4 linked regions of the Oryctolagus cuniculus genome follow. The protein of the gene in region 1 binds, or shares a complex with, the protein of each later gene. Links are inferred from orthologs where the notes say so. Each region holds a gene or a part of one and is shown in the gene's direction. Other genes may lie near its edges.

Region 1 (3,558 bases):
TGGCAAAGGCCCAAGCACTTGAGCCATCATCTTTGCCTCCCAGTCTGCTGAGCTGGAAGCAGAATGACCAGAGAGTGGCGCTCTCCTCATGCGGGCATCCTACGTGCAGCTGAACCTGTTGGGCCACACTCCTGTCCCTGTCCCATATCTTGACCATCTCAGTGGAGTTGTTCCCTAATCTTCCTTAGCTTTTTTTTTTAATTTATGTATGTATGTATGTATGTATGTATGTATGTATTTGAAGTGCAGACCAACTGGTGGAGAGAGAGAGAGAGAGATCATTCATCTGCTGGTTTACTCTCCAAATACCTAAAACAGCCAGGACTGGGCCAGGCCAAAGACAGGAGCCAGGAACTTCATCTGGATCTCCCACGTGGGTGCCAGGAAACTAAATTCTTGGGCCTGATCCACTGCCTTCCCAGGCGCATTTGCAGGAAGGTGGATCAGAATTGGAGTAGCTGACCTGTAGTGCTGGTATCCTATATGGGCGCCAATTCAAGCTCCAGCTACTCCACTTTTGATTCAGCTCCCTGCTAATGTGCCTGGGAAAATAGCAGAAAAAGGCCCAAATACTTGGGCCCTTGCGCCCACTTGGGAGACCCAGATGGAGTTCTGAGTTCCTGGCTTCGGCCTGACACAGCCCCAACAAGTACAGCCATTTGGGGAGTGAATCAGCAGACGGAAGATCTCTCTCTGTCTCTCCATCTCTCTATATATAACTCCACCTTTCAAATCAATCAATCTGTTTCGTTTTGTTTTCTGAAAGGAAAGTAAGAGTTGCTCAAGTTGGAAACCTCCTGCCGAGCAGCCAGGAGGGGGTTCCAAGGAAGACCGAAGGGCTGGTGGTAGTGGAGTTTTTAAGCTCAATCTTGGGGAAGAAACTGTCAATCAGTACAAGGCAGGGACAAATCAAAATCGAAAGAGCTGATTTATAGTATAATTCTTTGCACTGCCTGGCTTGCCCATGATAAAACATTTTGCTCTTTCTGTAACTCTGCCTTTCAAATAATTAAAAAAAAAAAAAAGAAAGAAAGAAAGAAATGTGCACAAGGGAAAGGCAATGCCAAAAAAGTCTCATCCAGTGTGCAGTCCCATCTCTAAAAGTGGAAGCAGGGGCCGGCGCTGCGGCACAGTAGGTTAATCCTCCACCTCCGGCACCGGCATCACATGGGCACCAGTTCTAGTCCTGGCTGCTCCTCTTCCGATCCAGCTCTCTGCTGTGGCCTGGGAAAGCAGTAGCAGATGGCCCAAGTCCTTGGGCCCCTGCACCCACGTGGAAGACCTGGAGGAAGCTCCTGGCTCCTGGCTTCAGATGGGCTCAGCTCTGGCCATTTCAGCCATTTGGGGAGTGAACCAGCAGACGGAAGACCTTTCTCTCTGTCTCTCCCTCTCTCTGTCTATAATTCTACCTCGCAAATAAACAAAATCTAAAAAAAAAAAAGTGGAAGCAGAGTATGCTTACCTCCCAGAAGAGTGACCGTCACCACTTCCTCTTTTCCCTTCAGGCTAAACTGCTGTTTTCAGATGGAGAAAAAGTGGTACCCAGATTGACCCATGAGCTTCCAGGGATAAAGGTCAGTCACTGTGTCTTGGGGTCCCTGAACAGGAGGCAGGTGAAATGTGTGGGCCCAGGGAGGTTTCGCCTCTCCTCCTCCACACCATTTGTAGGGCTGCTGGGTGGGCTTCCGGGGCCTGGGTCAGGGAGTCTGGTGGGCCCCCATCAGGGGGCCTGCAGCCAGGTCCTGGCTTTCCACCGACTGCCTTCCCTTTTCCTCCAGCGTGGCCGGCAGACAGAGGAGGAGTGTGCCCATCGAGGAAGCCCCATTCCCAAAAAGGTAAGCCACTTTTCATCTCATTTCGGCCGGGAAGGGGTCCCCGGCTCCAGGTGATGGGGCTGGGCTTCCTCGGTGCACCTCCGGGCCTTTCTAGGCACGAGAGGCAGAAGCCCAGAAACTCGCTTTCCCGCCCCCTTCAAGCATCGCTCGATCTCTGAGGAAAACCATCTCTACCGAGTGGTCCTTGACCTGCGGTAGGGTGGGGCTTCCCACGGGATCAGGCCACTGACAACTGTTCTTTGTGGCAGAGGAAAGGACGGCCTCCCGGACACATCCTGTCAAATGACCGGGCAGCTGGCGGCATGGTGTGAGTAGAGGCCAACGGCGTGGTGCAAGCCACAGGGAGCAGAGGGCGGGAGTGGCCCGGAGGGAAGAGGCCAGAGCTCTTCCCTGGTGAAATGGGACGCGTGTGTTTGAGTCGCGTGGGGGGTGGGACACTGAGAAGGAAGTTGTTTGATCCTGTTTCTGCCCCTGAACACTTTGGCCCAACCTGATTAAACCCCAGAGTGGTTTCACTGTTAGTGTACATTGAATGCCCATAACTGACCTGAGCGATCGAAATCCCGTTTATACTTGCCTTTTCATCCTTACAGCCGCCCTCTAAAGGTATCATTTTATAATTTTGCAGATAAGAAAATGGAGAATTAATTACTCACACCCATGCAGTTAATTGGAAGCAAAACGACTACATTGTCACAGGGTGGTTATTTTCAAAGATTTCTTTTAAAGACTTCACTCCTTAGAGCAGTTTTAGGTTCACAGCAAAATGGAAAGTTACAGAGATTTCCCATTTATCCCTTGCCTCTGCACATGCACAGCCTCCCCCTGTATCCATGTCCGACATCTGTTACAAGTCAGGAGCCCACTCTGACTCTCCCTGTGCCCCCGAGGCCACAGCTGACCTCGGGCTTCACTGTTGGTTGTGTGCATTCCGTGAGTTTGGGTAAGTGCATGATGATATGTGTCCACCCTTGTAGGATCATACAGCATATTTTACTGTCCTCTGCCTGTTCCTCCCTCCCGTTCCCCTACCCCTGACCATCATCAAAGATTTTGAAAGCTGCAGAATCTTTTTTTCCAAACAGAACTTTACATGGAAGTCTGTTATATCAAGCGGATAAAGCCACACTGATCTAGTTAAAATGGAGCTACCAGCCTAGGAGATGGAATTGTATTACTCTCTCCATACTTTAAATTTGTCTCCTACCTAAAGCAATTTTGTATCTTGTAAAAGCAGGAAAGGGAGGGAGTTGTTGCTCTTGGCTCCTTTTGACAGAGAAAGCTGTACCTGGAAATGCAGGCCTTGCCTGTGGCACTGTGTGGCAGCAGAGCTAGCACTGGAGTGGCTCCTGGTCCAGAGCTTTTTCTCCTTTGTACCTCCACTAACGGTCGCCAGGAAGAAGTGAACCCAGGCCTAACGTGACGGCGTGAGGAACCCTCACTGTCACCAGTGAGCTTTCCTCCAGTTCTCGTGCTCACCTTGGAGAATTCACCTTTCCTTCTTCCTTCCAAGCAGATGGAAGCCAAAATCTTGTGAACCAATTCGCCGGGAAGGCCCCAAGGTATGATCATGTGAGCACGGCAGAGACCCCGTCCCAACAGAGACCTAGCCACAGCTCTGGGCCCACCGTGAGAGAAAGAAGCTAGGGTAGCGAGGGCTGCGTGCTTGTTATTCCACAGCGATCTTACACTCTGGTCTCCAGAGAGGATCCCACAAGGAACT
Region 2 (4,116 bases), on another chromosome or scaffold:
CCCATTTAGGCAATGGTTCCAGTCCTGGCTGCTCCACTTCCAATTCAGCTCCCTGCTAATGTGCCTGGAAAAGCAGCAGTGCATCGCCCAAGTGCTTGAACCCTGCACCCACGTGGGAGACCTGGAAGAAGCTCCTGGCTCCAGCCCAGTCCCTCCCTTATGGCCATTTGGGGAGTGAACCAGCAGATGGAACATCTCTGGCTGTCTCTGCCTCTCTTAATCTCTCTGTAACTTTGCCTTTCAACAACAACAACAAAAATTTTAAAAAGACTATTAAACCGGTGCGCTGTTACCAGTTAATGCGCAGCTTTTATATTAGCCACGCCCTTCCTCCAAACCCGCCCTCCACCAGCACGCTCCCACATGCAAGCATACACACGTACGCGCGCACATGCACGTACACACACGCGCGCTCACAGGAGCCTGTTGCAACACACACGGCCGTGCAGTCCGCTCGGAGAATGCGGCTTTTCTCCACACTGGGCAGAGCTACCCCTGGGGAGTTTCCGAGGAGCAATCCAAATGACTTAGGAACGCTGCAGTCCGCGCCCCTCTAGACGCCTCTTTCCTTCAGAGGCATCCGAGGAGAAACTGACAAGGTTGGGAATGGAGGGAAAAAGTAGTCCAGTTACTGTCAACTAGCCAGTGATTCTACCCCAGGAAGCGACCTGCTTTTTGCACCTAAGAATGAAACACTGAAGGAACGAACAAGGATTTAGAAAAGGCATTTTTGAGTAGGATCTGTCACTGTCAAGAAGTAGGCATTTCCTTCCTAGCAGTCGTCCCGTTAATTTGCTGCAAGAAAGAGGTGTTTAGGCAAGCAGAGGTGTTAGCTGCAGGACCTCAAAGACCTGGAAAGCGCCAGCTGACTGAATTCTCCTTGGTTTGGTTTCCCTCAAAAGCATAGTTCACCAAAAACGGTTTTACCACACACGCAGAACGGCCCCGAAACTTTTTTTTTTTTTTTTTTGCACGCTCACTTACTCCCCCACCCGCCTTTATGCTTCCCCTCAGAGTCGGCTGACTTCCTCTGAACACCAACCCCGCGAAATTCCAGGAGCTAAACACCACCCAACTTCCAGGGAGACACAGGAGACTAGAATAAACAGCGTAATCCACAACCACACACTCCTGTTTTCCCTGTGCTTTGGAAAAAAAATCGGCCCGCTGTGGCGCGATGCATGCTGGGATGTGTAGTTCATCCAGTTTACTGGACGCCAGATTAGGGCGAAACTCAGGACGACTTCGCAGTAGGGAACTACAATTCCCGTGGTAACTCGCGGCAGAGTGGAAGGGGCGGAAGGGGGGGGGTGCGTCGTGCTTGCGCAGGTCCAGGGGCCGAAGGGAGGCGGAGGCGCCGCGGTCCAAGTGTTGAAGTCTCCATGTGACAGTAATCGGGGTCCCAGGTCCCTGTGCTGCCCCACTCTTGAGTCTTAACCCCCAGCACTGTCCACTCTCCGGCGCCAACGGTAATCGCCAGGCTGGGGACATTGCGTGTTTGGCCGGGCCATCGCCGAACTTGGGGTGCAGAGTGAATTGCCGCCGCCGGATCGTGTGCCCGAGGGACCTGGCGGAGAGAGGCGGAGCGGCGAGACTAGCGGGGATTTCTGTCGGCGCCGGCGCCTCGGAGCGCGGAGACATGAACGGCTTCACGCCTGAGGAGATGAGCCGCGGTGGGGACGCAGCCGCCGCGGTGGCCGCCGTGGTCGCTGCAGCGGCCGCCGCCGCCTCGGCTGGAAATGGGAACGGGGCGAGCGCTGGGGCTGAGGTGCCAGGAGGCGGCGCGGTCTCCGCGGCTGGGCCCCCGGGAGCCGCTGGCCCGGGCCCCGGGCAACTCTGCTGTTTGCGGGAGGACGGTGAGCGGTGCGGCCGGGCGGCAGGCAACGCCAGCTTCAGCAAGAGGATCCAGAAGAGCATCTCCCAGAAGAAGGTGAAGATCGAGCTGGATAAGAGCGTAAGTGACGGCGGGACCGCCCCTGTGGGGCTCCAGCAGCTGGGCAAAGACACGGGTTGTTGGCAAGGTTCAGCCCCCACCCCCACCCCCACCCCCACCCCCGACCTGGCTGCAGTGCGGACTTGCGAAGTCTTAGCTCGGGAGCAAACAACAAAGTCACTGCAACTCCGACCGCCACCCCCAACACGCAAAAACACACGCTGCGGTGCCCCTCCTCCTCCTCCTCTCCCCACCCCCCGACCTCCCGCTGCATGCGTCTCTCCCGCGCAGTCCTCCCTCTTCCTCCTCTGCTGCAATCGGGAATCGAAACAAAGGGGCAGGTCGCACGGAGCACCCGGAGTAGTTTTCTTGCAGCCCGGCAACCCCTTCTTGGAATGGAGGAGCCTTTGTTGTGCTGCCCGAGCTGGCGTGTGGCCCCAGGGTGAAGTAGCTGCCCTACTCTGGGGAAAGTGGAGTCCAATCGGACCTTACACCCAGGAAGGTCCTTGGTCCGGAACACAGAGCGAGATCCCCCCACCCTGCCGCCTCGCGCGGCGCAGGGGCTGTACACCGTGTTTGCAGTGTCAGCTGCTCCGCAGCTACTCTGAACGTGGGAGCACGTAGCCTCTGCGGTCTTGCCATTCGCTTGGCAGCCATCAGGATTCCGTTTTCTGTTCTTTTGACCGACTGGGAGGGTTTTAGAAACACCCATTGCTACTTTTCGGAGTTCTGGCTGGCAATCAATGAATACCAAGCTGTCAGAACCTAGCGCGCGTCCTGCATGTTTTTAACTGAGGCTTAGCTTGAAAATTGTCAAGCCTGTTAGCTCAGCCCTTTTTTTTTTTTTTAAGGAATTAGCTGTCAAAATATGAAGCCCAGTATTTCCGTGTCGCTATACAATTCTCATGAAAATATGTAATTAAAGCTTTTGAAAAGTTTATTGTGACATTTTCTGCCTGTTTTAAACAGCTCTTTAGTGGTATTCGTGAGAAACTTTTCAGGTGAATTTGAATAATTTCAGATTACTTTGTATCACATACAAATACATTGATTTAATACTTAGAAAAATTTATAATTGAAATTTAAATATAGGATAAAAATTAATAGCTAGTTTGGAAAATGTTGTGCCTGTAATATGATTTGGGTAGTAAATTAGATTGGAAAGCATGCATGGTACTACTTAAGTTTGCTCTTTAAGCGGAAAATACTATCAGGTAACAGAATTGTGGTCAACATCATCTTCTCCCTTGCCAGTTAAAAATCCAGCCTGAAATAACTAATTCAGGTCAACCTTTGCAATTTGATGACAAAACCCAGAGGACTGGAATTTCTCATTCTCCTTTTTCTGCCTCTGTCCCTCCCCCAAGTGGCACTACACTCTTCCTCCTCCCACTCCGCTCTGTATTGCCAGACATCTGGTTTAACAAGGCCTAGGATTTAAGACTAGAAACATACTCTTGTCTTACCAATGGCTTGTTTTGACTGTTTTCAATAATTCCCTGTGGCCTATGTGTGTATTAATGCACAGAAACATTTTACTGTAAAATAAGCAGTCTGTGAACTCTTTCTGTTTCAGGCAAGGCATCTTTACATTTGTGATTATCATAAAAATTTAATTCAGAGTGTTCGAAACAGAAGAAAGAGAAAAGGCAGTGATGATGATGGAGGTGATTCACCTGTTCAAGATATTGACACGCCAGAGGTAGATGAAAATTTTTGTATGTTTAATGTAACTCCTAAGTAGTTCATTCTGAAATTTTTATAAAAACATTTGAGGAAATTTTTTAAACATTTAAAACATTTGAGAAATCTGGAAATGAAAGCAAAGTTAAATATACCCAGTTAATAAAAGTTATACAGTTTGAATTATTATATTTTCAGTTGACAACTATTAGAATTTTATTCATATATATAATATATAATACCACCACCAGTTTATAGTATTTATCCCAGAAAGATTAAAGTGTTTATATATAAACCATGGAGTTAAGTTTGTATTGTGCTGAAGTTGAAATTTTGTTCTTGAACCTATCAGTGGTAAATTTTAAAAAAACAGTATGGACTAATTCATATGTGTAAATTTTTTTCTAGGTTGATTTATACCAATTACAAGTAAATACGCTTAGGAGATACAAAAGACACTTCAAGCTACCAACCAGACCAGGACTTAATAAAGCACAGCT
Region 3 (4,324 bases), on another chromosome or scaffold:
TCCCGGGCAGCACCGTCTCTCCTCCTTGGCTGCCTTAAGCACAATGCACCAAGGAATCACTTCTGTCTCCTCCCTCTCCCCACCACGGTGTGCTGTCACAAAAACGTCAGCGCTTTCTAATTGCTGGACCTAATCATGCATTTATTTCTCAAAGCCGTGTTATTTTTCTTACATCACACATTTTGTCTTCATAATGTGCCATCAGTGTCCGGGAGAAGTGAGAGCCAGCACACGTGGAGGATTTCCCGTTGCTAGGGGAGGCTGGCTCTCATTCCCAAATCTCTGGGTCAATCTGCAGCTTCCCAGGAGGTCTGAAGAAGCAGACCTGGGGATCGGTTTCCAGATGTCATTTTCCCGCCCATGTAACACCCACCTTTCCTTGACAAAGCCTGCACTCTTGTCTACAGTTTGCTGTGCTGTAGCAAAAAAAAAAAAAAAAAAAAAAAAAAAAAAAAAAAAAAAAGGAGAGATTTCATCTGGGCAATGCGCTGGCAGAAGCAGCATTTGGGAAAAAGGGAAAATTGTGGAGCCCTCGCTGAGGCTTTTGAACCACCTTTTAAAGGTCCCTGTTTTCCACGACAGGCTACAAGGCGGCTAATGTTTCTGTTACGAAAGCCCTCCGCTGCAGTTTCCAATGCGTGCTTTCAAAACAAAACAACCGACACAGCAAAAGGCTAGCCCCATTTTCTTCCCAGCTTTCCGGGATCCGGAATTCTTCCTTGAGCACCGCCGATTAACTAAGCGCTAGCTACTTACAGAAACCCAAAAGGTGGCCCTTTGTTGTAATTTTCAACTCTGAGAGCAAAGGCATTTCGGGCCTGCACACATTTCAGAATGGCTACGGCCTGAAACTCCACTTCCCAGGACTCCACCCTCCCTGCGAACCCACTTTCGGCCGGCGCTGAAACCGGGAAGGCATCAGGCCCGAGCGCGGGGTCCTCCCGGGGCTGAGCGCCCAGAAGAGCAGGAACTCGCGGCGGGGGGGGCGGGGGGGGCGGGAGGCGGGACGCACGCGGCTTTGCAGCTCCAAGAGGTCCCCCGAAGCGCGGTGCGCGGTAGGCGCCCTGCGCCCTCAGTCCCTGGGGAGCCTGTGCAGGGGAGGCAGGGGCTGGAGACCCGCGTGTGAAGGCCCTGTTCTGGCAGGAGCCCGGAAAACTCGGCAGGAACCGCGTCCTCACGGGATTTCTGGCCCCAATACCAAACAACAACTTTTTTTCTTCTCTCTCCCCCCACCCCTTTGTGTGTGCTTTTCCTGGAACTCTGGCTGCCCTGGGCTCCCCCGAGCTAAGCCCCCGGGGCTCCTAACACCACCTTCCGGACCCGCCGGAGAGCAGGGCTCAGCGCGGCGCCTCCGACCGACCGCACTTCCCCACCGGCGCGGGGGTGCAGCCCGGTCGCGGGCTCCCGCAGCGGAGGGCGCGGCCAGCCCAGAGCCGGCGCCGGGGGCCCTGGGCGCGGAGCCGGGGGCGCGGGCGCGGGCGCGGGCGGGGCGGGCGGCTGCAGGGCCCCGCGCGCCGCCGCGCGAGCTGCTGGGTCACAGCCGGGCCGCGCCGCCCGCTCGGCTAGGAAGTGACGACTGAGCCGTCCCGACAGCAACAAAGTTTGAGCCTGCGGGCCGCGCTCTGCTGCGCCCCGCGGCCCTCCGAGCCACCCCACCGCGGATCCAGCGCACAGGTGAGCCACGAGCTCTGCGCCCCTCGTCGCGCCGCCGGGGTCTCGGGCTTGGCCGTGCGGGTGGGGGATGTGGCGGGCCGGGCCGGGCCGGGCGCTGCAGGGGAGTCGCGCGGCGGCGCGGGTCGGGGGCCGCCGGCTGCGCCCCTGTGTCGCCGCTGGTCCTACCGCGGGACCTAAAGCAGCCCAGGGGCTGCAGCAGGGCTCGCTCCGGGCGCGGCTTGCGAGGGGAGCGGTGCGGGGAAGGGGCTTCCCGGGGCCTAGGTCTGGAGCGATTCTCGGCGCCGTGCCCCGCTCCCCGCAGGCTGGACGCAGCCGCCCCCCGGCCCCCGCCTGGTGCTTCCTCTCCGCAGCCCTCCGCGAGCTCGCGGGAAGGAAGTTGAAGGAACTTTCCCCCCACTTTTATTTGCTCGGCCCTCCTGTGTCGCGGAGCGGAGCAACTCAGAAGTTTGGGAAAAACAACCCGAGGCGCTTCGAGAAAACAGAACCCTAGCCGCCCTCGCACGCCCACCGCTTAACCCCCTCCAAGCCCCCTCCACCCGGCCCCCTCCCCCACCCCGGCCCGGAGCCGACCGTAATGGCTAAGGCCTAACACTTTGCAATGTAGCCATAAAAACTGTCAGCGCGCCCACGTACAGATGGGAGTGTTTTCTATATAAAACTCGGAGAGCCGCTTGCACCGGACTCCGTGGCATCGCGTGCGTGCGTACGTGTGTGTGTGTGTGTGTGTTTCCTAAAACTGTGGGGCTGCAGGGCTGTGCCGGGTAGTTCCCGCCGCCCTGGGGGAGCCTCGTGGCGCAGCTGGGAAGTTCGTGACATCCCTGCAGAGCGAGCCCGGGCTGGCGGGCCGCGCGCCCTGGCCTGGACGCCGCGGTGGCGGCGGCGACTGCCCAGCCACGTCGGTGTGCGCTGGAATTGTGCGTCGGAGCCTGGAGACTCCGGGATGGGCTGTCTGGAGGCAGAATGGTGCAGTTGCTAGCAGCAGCTTCCTGCCGGCCTGTAATTACGGCGTGATTGCACAGTCGGGCATTGTTGGCGTGGATGTTTATACACAGGCTGTTGTGCAAGACGTTAGTGGTGGCGAACGAAACGCAGCTTTGCGTTGCCAATGTCCAGGACAGATCTGGGCCCAGGCTGCAGGCTCCAAGTTCTCTATGCCTTCTTAGCGAGGTGTTTGATTTCCTTGCTTCTGTCCTCCACCTTTGACAGCCTGCTGAACGCCTCCGGACGGCAGGATCCCACCACTCTTTCCTACCTTGGGTAGCGTGAACACTGACCCAGGAACTGTACCCTTATTTGTGTCCGGAGAAAAACGTGGGGTGACGTCAGCAGGAAAAGGAGCTAGGAGATGGGTGTTACCCTCCCTCAACCGGAAAGCTGTGTGAATGAGCAAAAATGCAGGGGTGTCTGCAACGGGGCCTCCTAAAGAGAGCTCGCAGACCCTGTGGGACCGAGCTGGCCGGCTAAACTTCAACCCTTGAAGTTATCATCTGCAGAAACTCCGTGGGCGGGTCCTAACTCCGTGTATTCTTGGCTGCGGCTTTGAGACTCTGTGACGGTGTCTGGGGCAGGGGCAAGGCTGGCGAGGAAGTGACTCATGGACATTTTCTCCAGAGGAGCCCCTGGGCCAGCTTCCTGAGCAAGGCGTGCAGCATGGCCAGTGCTGTGGGCCCTCACGTGCCCTGCAGGAAGGGAGCCCAGCTCTTCCTGAGGGCTTCCTGGGCAGCTGCCTGTGGTAGAGGGGTTTACAACTCAATTGGGAAGTGCGAGCGGGGCTTGCGCAGGGCCATCCTCCCCACGTCCCCCACGCTCAGTGTGCTCTCGCCCTGTCCTAGGCAGACAAACTCGCAGGGCAGCGCTCGGCCCTGCCAGGTAGCTTGGTGACCCAGTGGCACCGCCCTACAGCTGTGCACAGGCAGCCTGTGTGCTCAGAGCGGCAGGCACGCCGGGGCTCCTCCATGCCTGCCCTGCTCTCCAACCACACACCCAGGCTTCATCTGGGTGGCAGACGCTGTTTTGCAGCCCTGTGCCAGCTGCTTGTTACTGACACAGCGACCATTTATCAGATCCCAACATTAAGGCACAGTACCTAGCAGGTACCCATGCGTCTCCAAAGACTCGTGGACAAGCATACGATGAGGACAGTCGGGAGCGAGGTTGAGGACAGAAGCACCCGGGCAGTAGGGGTCAGCACAGCTTGCACAGCCCCCTGCCTTGAGGACATTCGGGTCATTACTGAACTTGACCCTCAAGGCCCTGGCTAGCTGCTTCACCTGGCCAGGACTGCTTGAGCAAGGGCCTTCTGGAGCCCGCACTAGTGTTGAGTGGCAGGAGAGGGGTGCGTCGTCTTCTATGCCCAAAGCAAAGGGAGCTATGAGTTGCAATCCTTTTTGTCCACATAGAGCTTACAGAGTCTGAAGGTGCCCAGAGACCGCTGGCGCGTGGCTGGGAGAGCGATGAGGAGCGGCCCCTTGCCAAAGCCGGGGAAGGAAGCAAGCCGAGCTCCTGTGGAGTTAGGGAGCAGTCACCACCCGCATCTTCAGTTCAGCCTGGCAGATGGCTACGTGCACTCGGGCCCTTTCCCTGGCTGGCAAGGCTGAGCCTCTGCACTCCGAGCTTGCCCTGCAGTCCAGTTGAAGACCAGAGGCTTCAT
Region 4 (4,209 bases), on another chromosome or scaffold:
AGCCAGTGCTAGCCCACGTCTCACGGCAGGGTGACGGGTCAGCTCCCAGCTCCAGCTCCTGACTCCGGCTTCCCACTAACGCAGATCCTGGGGGGGCAGCGGGTCCCTGCCAGCCACGTGGGAGACCTGAATGCTGCACTCCTGGCTTCGGCCCAGTCCCACCCTGGCCGTGCAGACATCTGGGCTGTGAAACAATGGGTGCGTGCTCTCTGCCAGTCTCTGGGTCTTGAAAAGCTATGGGGATGTTTGTCTGACCCAGGCATGGCTTCTCTCAGCACTAGAGCGCAAACTCAACAAAAACACAAGCTTTATCAGGGCCTCCGTGAGGGCACAGTAAGCCCTGGTGGAGTCCCTGCTCCACCACCGATCCAGCTCCCTGCTAATGCTTCCAGGAAGACAGAGGAAGATGGCCAAGGGCGTGGACCTCTGCCGACCACGTGGGAGACCCGGATGCAGGGCCAGGCTCCTGTGGCCATCTGGGGAGTGAACCAGTGGGCGGAAGCTCTCAGCCTCTCCCTTTCTCTTTGTCACTCTCCCTTTCAAATAAGTAAGTCAATCTTAAACGTTGAGGTCTTCTTACAAGGCACGCATTTCCCTCGGATAACACTACAGTGTTTGGCACATTACAGAGACACGTGACCATCCCTGTCACCTAGCTTTAGAAAATTCCCGCCACCATCGCCCCCCGGAAGACCCCTCGCACCCCCAGGCAACCTGCTAATTTGCTCTAAGTCCCCACCCATGTTCAAGTTCTCAGGCACGACCCCTTTTCCCCCAAGCTCAGCCGCTGGGGTTCAAGCTCCGGGGCCCGGTCAGCAGCCCCTCCCCCGGGGCCCAAAACCGGCAGAGCTCAAGTCCCCGCCACATGCTCCCGCCCCGGAGAAGGGCAGGACTCCGTGCCTCCCGCGACCCCTGCCTGGGGCACACGAGCCGCAGCTTTCCCGGGTGGGGGGGTGGGGGGGCACGGCAACCCTCCCCGTGCGGCCTCCCCAGGCGGAAAAGCACCAGGCCACCGCCACTGCGTTCTAACGCCGCCCTCCAGGAACAATGGCCGCAGCCGAAGGTCCCCGGCCTCGTCGTACGGGTCGTAGGGCGCCGGCCCCTCCCCCACCTCCCCCGCAACCCCTTCCCCGTCTCCTTCACACTCTCCAGCCTCAACCGATTCCCCGCTCCCAAAATGGCGACCAACCGCCTCCTTTCCCGCCCGCGGCGGGTCACCTGACCTTGGCAACGCCCCGCCCCCTCGCGCGGCCCCGCCCCTCGCGCGAGCCGCCGAGTCTGCGCGGGCGGGCGTGCGGCACGCGCCGGCAGCCAGGGCGACGCGAGGCCGGCGCGAGGCGGCTGGAGGCGGCCCGCAGCCACGCCCGCGCGCTTGCGCCGCGGGGGAGCGGGGCGCTCCGGGGGCGACCGGGGCTGCGCGTGCGCGCCGGGCGGCCGGGCGGCGCGGGGACGCTGGGAGCCCCGCGAGGCACGAGGCGCGAGGCGCGAGGCCCGGCGCGCGAGCCCCCGGGGGCGGGTAAAACCCGGTTGCTGCTGCCCCTGCCCCCTCCCCTTCCTTCCTGCCCCCCTTTCTTGCCCCTTCCTCTTATTTCACCCCCCTCCTCCTCTGACACCCGCCCTCGTTCCTGTGTTTCCTTTTTAGGGGGCCCGTCTCCCTCTCGAGGGGCGCAGCAGGCGCGGCGGGCGCCCCGTAGCCCGCGTCACGCACGCACCTTCTGCACCCCAACAGCTCCCGGCCCCGCTGCACCCCCGCAGCGCCTCGCCTCTTGGAGGAGCCTCCTTGGGGGCCCCGGGGCCCGCTGCACCCCCCTTTCCCTTCCTTCCCCGCCCCCGAGGCCCCAACTGCCCCCCGCAGGCCCCCCAGCTCGCGCGCGGGCCCTACCCGACCTCCGCACTTTCTGCACCTCGGCCTTGCAGCCGCTGTCCCCCCTGTCCAGGCCCCTTCTGCTGAAAGCCCCTGGCTCCCCAGCAGCCCCCTCCGCTGTAGGGGACCCAGCTGGGTCTCGCTTTAGAATCTTCCAGCAAAACCAAAACGCTCTGGGGGGTCTGCCTTTGGCTGTGCCCCTCCCCCACGCCTCGTAGGAATTTTCCCTGGCCAAGGAAAAATCGTATTTATATCCAAGCTTGACCCCGCCCGTCCATTTAGGATCACTTTCCAGCAAAAGCGATTTTTTTTTTTTTATCAGCTAGAGATTCCCCCTGGGGAACATCTTTCCACTTAAACAGCCCCGTACTTCCAGCCTCTCTCTCTCCTTTAATATTTTATTTTTCCAACACTCTCCCTCCCTGCCCCCCAAAAAAGTTTCCAAAAAAATCCCTTTTCGCCACCAGTTTCACCTCTCCCGCCCCCCGCCCCCCCCCCCAATTTGGCTTCTCCCAACAAAACCAAGTCCCATCCCCCTGGGGGAACAATAAGGAAACAAATAATAATTTCCTCTTCCTTGCGCCGCCTCCCAGACAGCCCCAGCTCGGTGTTGCTTTCTTGCTTCTTCGGAACATTGACCTTCTCCCCCTCCACCCCCCGGTTTCACCTCTGCGGCCTTGTCTCTTTGGGGACCCAAGTTCTGATTGGGCCTCCCTCTCCACCCCGTGTTTTTAGGGCAGTAGAAATTGGATGAGTGTCCTGACATGACCACCCGGCTTCTGAGGCAGTAGCCAGTGCTCTGACAGCCACCTGCACCCCCTCCCTGTAGGGCCCGAGTTGGACCCCGCCGCTCCCGGGAGATTGCCTCATTCCTCTCCTGGTGAGTTTCCTCCCTTTGGGCTTGCCCAAAGACACCCACCTCTCACACGAATTGGAGGCCCCATGCAAGGTGCTGCTTTGGGAAGTCGGATAAGGAGAAGGGTTTTTGATCCACATGTTGACCTCTGGGGAATGCAAACTTGACTGCATTGATTATATCTCATTGTTGTTTCCAAAAAAAAAAAAAAGGTTTTTCCTTCTCTGGCTCAGGTAGCAAACCAGATACTTAGAGGGTGGGAAGGTAGAGGATGGTAGTAGTAGGTTTTGTGGTGAACTGAAGATCAGGTGCCCCATCTGGTTGACGCCAATGTGAAGGTAGCCACGTGGAAATACCAGGCCGGCATTGGCAGAGTTTTGATTTTTTTTTTTTTTTTGGGAGGAGAATCCAGAAAATGATGTGAACTTTTCTAATTTTTGTTTTAGTGTCTTTAAAAAGAACCTGTATTTATCCAATACACCTGGTTGTAATGTGAACCACATATTTAGTTATCTAAGAATGGAATACCAGTTTGGAGTTTGGGGTTAAGGATTCTTTGTTGTGTTAAATTTCACCCGCTTAGGCACATGCGTACATGCAAGATGTGTCTCCTTGAAGCAGTGCTTCTCAAACTTTGGCTCTGAAGACCCCTAAGGCTTAAAAAAATCATTGAGGATCCCAGAGAATTTTTGTTTACGTGAACTATACCTACCGGTATTTACTGTGGTAGAGGTGTAAACTAATAAACTCTCAAGGCATTTATTAACTGATTTAAAGTAGCAATCATAAACCCATTACGTACAAATGTAACTGATATTTTTATTAAAAAAAAAACATTTTGGAAAAGCCCGTTGAGAAGGACAGCAGTGATTTCCCTCTAACGTGATCTGGACTCTTCGATCTGCTTCTGCTTCCTGGTGCCATCCTCTGGGAAGCGTCACTGGGAACGCAAGAGGCAGGAACCGTCGGAGTATTCTTACGAAGGGCTGTTGACCTCACCCACTCCCTGGACGGCTCCTGAGAGTCCTGAGGAGTCCCCATTCCACCTCACTGTGAAGATTACTGTTGTAGATGTTAATACTTATTCGCATTCTCTGTAAAAGTAAGAAACTCCCCCCCCCCCCACTTAACCTCTGGGTCAGTTAGTATCCTTCTGTTTAGTCTATGTCTTCCTTTTCCCCAATATAAGCTTTAATTCCACTCTTTTAATGAGCATCAGAGGAGCTGAATTGGTTAATTCATCTAATTCTGGTTGAAATTATACGTTGGGGGCAGTGTTTGGCCTAAGACGCCCAGCATCCTATGCTGGAGGGCCTGGGTTTGGGTCCCAGCTCTGCTCTCAATCCCAGATTCCTGCTTTTGTGCACAGGGAGGCTGTAAGAGTTTGGGTTCCTGCCACCCACACTGGAGACCTGTGTTGAGTTTCTTGCTCCTGACTTTGGCCTGGCCCATCCCCTGCTGTCGTGGGTATTTGGGGTATGAACCAGTA

What was found.
Region 2: DNTTIP1 (region 1) and SAP30 share a complex: the UniProt entries of both Homo sapiens proteins name them as parts of the histone deacetylase complex. The link is inferred for Oryctolagus cuniculus from reciprocal best matches to the Homo sapiens genes DNTTIP1 and SAP30.
Region 3: the proteins of DNTTIP1 (region 1) and MIDEAS are in contact, whole or in part, in a cryo-EM structure (PDB 6Z2J), measured with the Homo sapiens proteins. The link is inferred for Oryctolagus cuniculus from reciprocal best matches to the Homo sapiens genes DNTTIP1 and MIDEAS. Residues at the interface, in NP_443183.1 of Homo sapiens: Pro63, Ser66, Leu69, Leu70, Ala72, Val73, Leu74, Pro76, Ser77; in NP_001036783.1 of Homo sapiens: Gln768, Asp771, Leu772, Thr774, Ala775, Ser778, Ser779, Ile802, Leu803, Leu806.
Region 4: DNTTIP1 (region 1) and ZNF541 share a complex: the UniProt entries of both Homo sapiens proteins name them as parts of the histone deacetylase complex. The link is inferred for Oryctolagus cuniculus from reciprocal best matches to the Homo sapiens genes DNTTIP1 and ZNF541.

Annotation. Positions count from the first base shown.
Region 1 is NC_091442.1:13,590,858-13,594,415, reverse strand, and holds part of DNTTIP1 (deoxynucleotidyltransferase terminal-interacting protein 1), read left to right. Parts: intron 1-1,505; coding exon 1,506-1,574; intron 1,575-1,778; coding exon 1,779-1,835; intron 1,836-2,083; coding exon 2,084-2,142; intron 2,143-3,348; coding exon 3,349-3,397; intron 3,398-3,558. UniProt on the Homo sapiens protein: Increases DNTT terminal deoxynucleotidyltransferase activity (in vitro). Also acts as a transcriptional regulator, binding to the consensus sequence 5'-GNTGCATG-3' following an AT-tract.
Region 2 is NC_091433.1:55,750,100-55,754,215, forward strand, and holds the start of SAP30 (histone deacetylase complex subunit SAP30), read left to right. Parts: upstream 1-1,301; 5' UTR 1,302-1,639; coding exon 1,640-1,954; intron 1,955-3,509; coding exon 3,510-3,635; intron 3,636-4,024; coding exon 4,025-4,116. UniProt on the Homo sapiens protein: Involved in the functional recruitment of the Sin3-histone deacetylase complex (HDAC) to a specific subset of N-CoR corepressor complexes. Capable of transcription repression by N-CoR.
Region 3 is NC_091451.1:19,957,780-19,962,103, reverse strand, and holds the start of MIDEAS (mitotic deacetylase-associated SANT domain protein), read left to right. Parts: upstream 1-1,496; 5' UTR 1,497-1,674; intron 1,675-4,324.
Region 4 is NC_091449.1:10,086,237-10,090,445, forward strand, and holds the start of ZNF541 (zinc finger protein 541), read left to right. Parts: upstream 1-1,409; 5' UTR 1,410-1,516; intron 1,517-2,599; 5' UTR 2,600-2,744; intron 2,745-4,209. UniProt on the Homo sapiens protein: Transcription regulator which is essential for male fertility and for the completion of meiotic prophase in spermatocytes.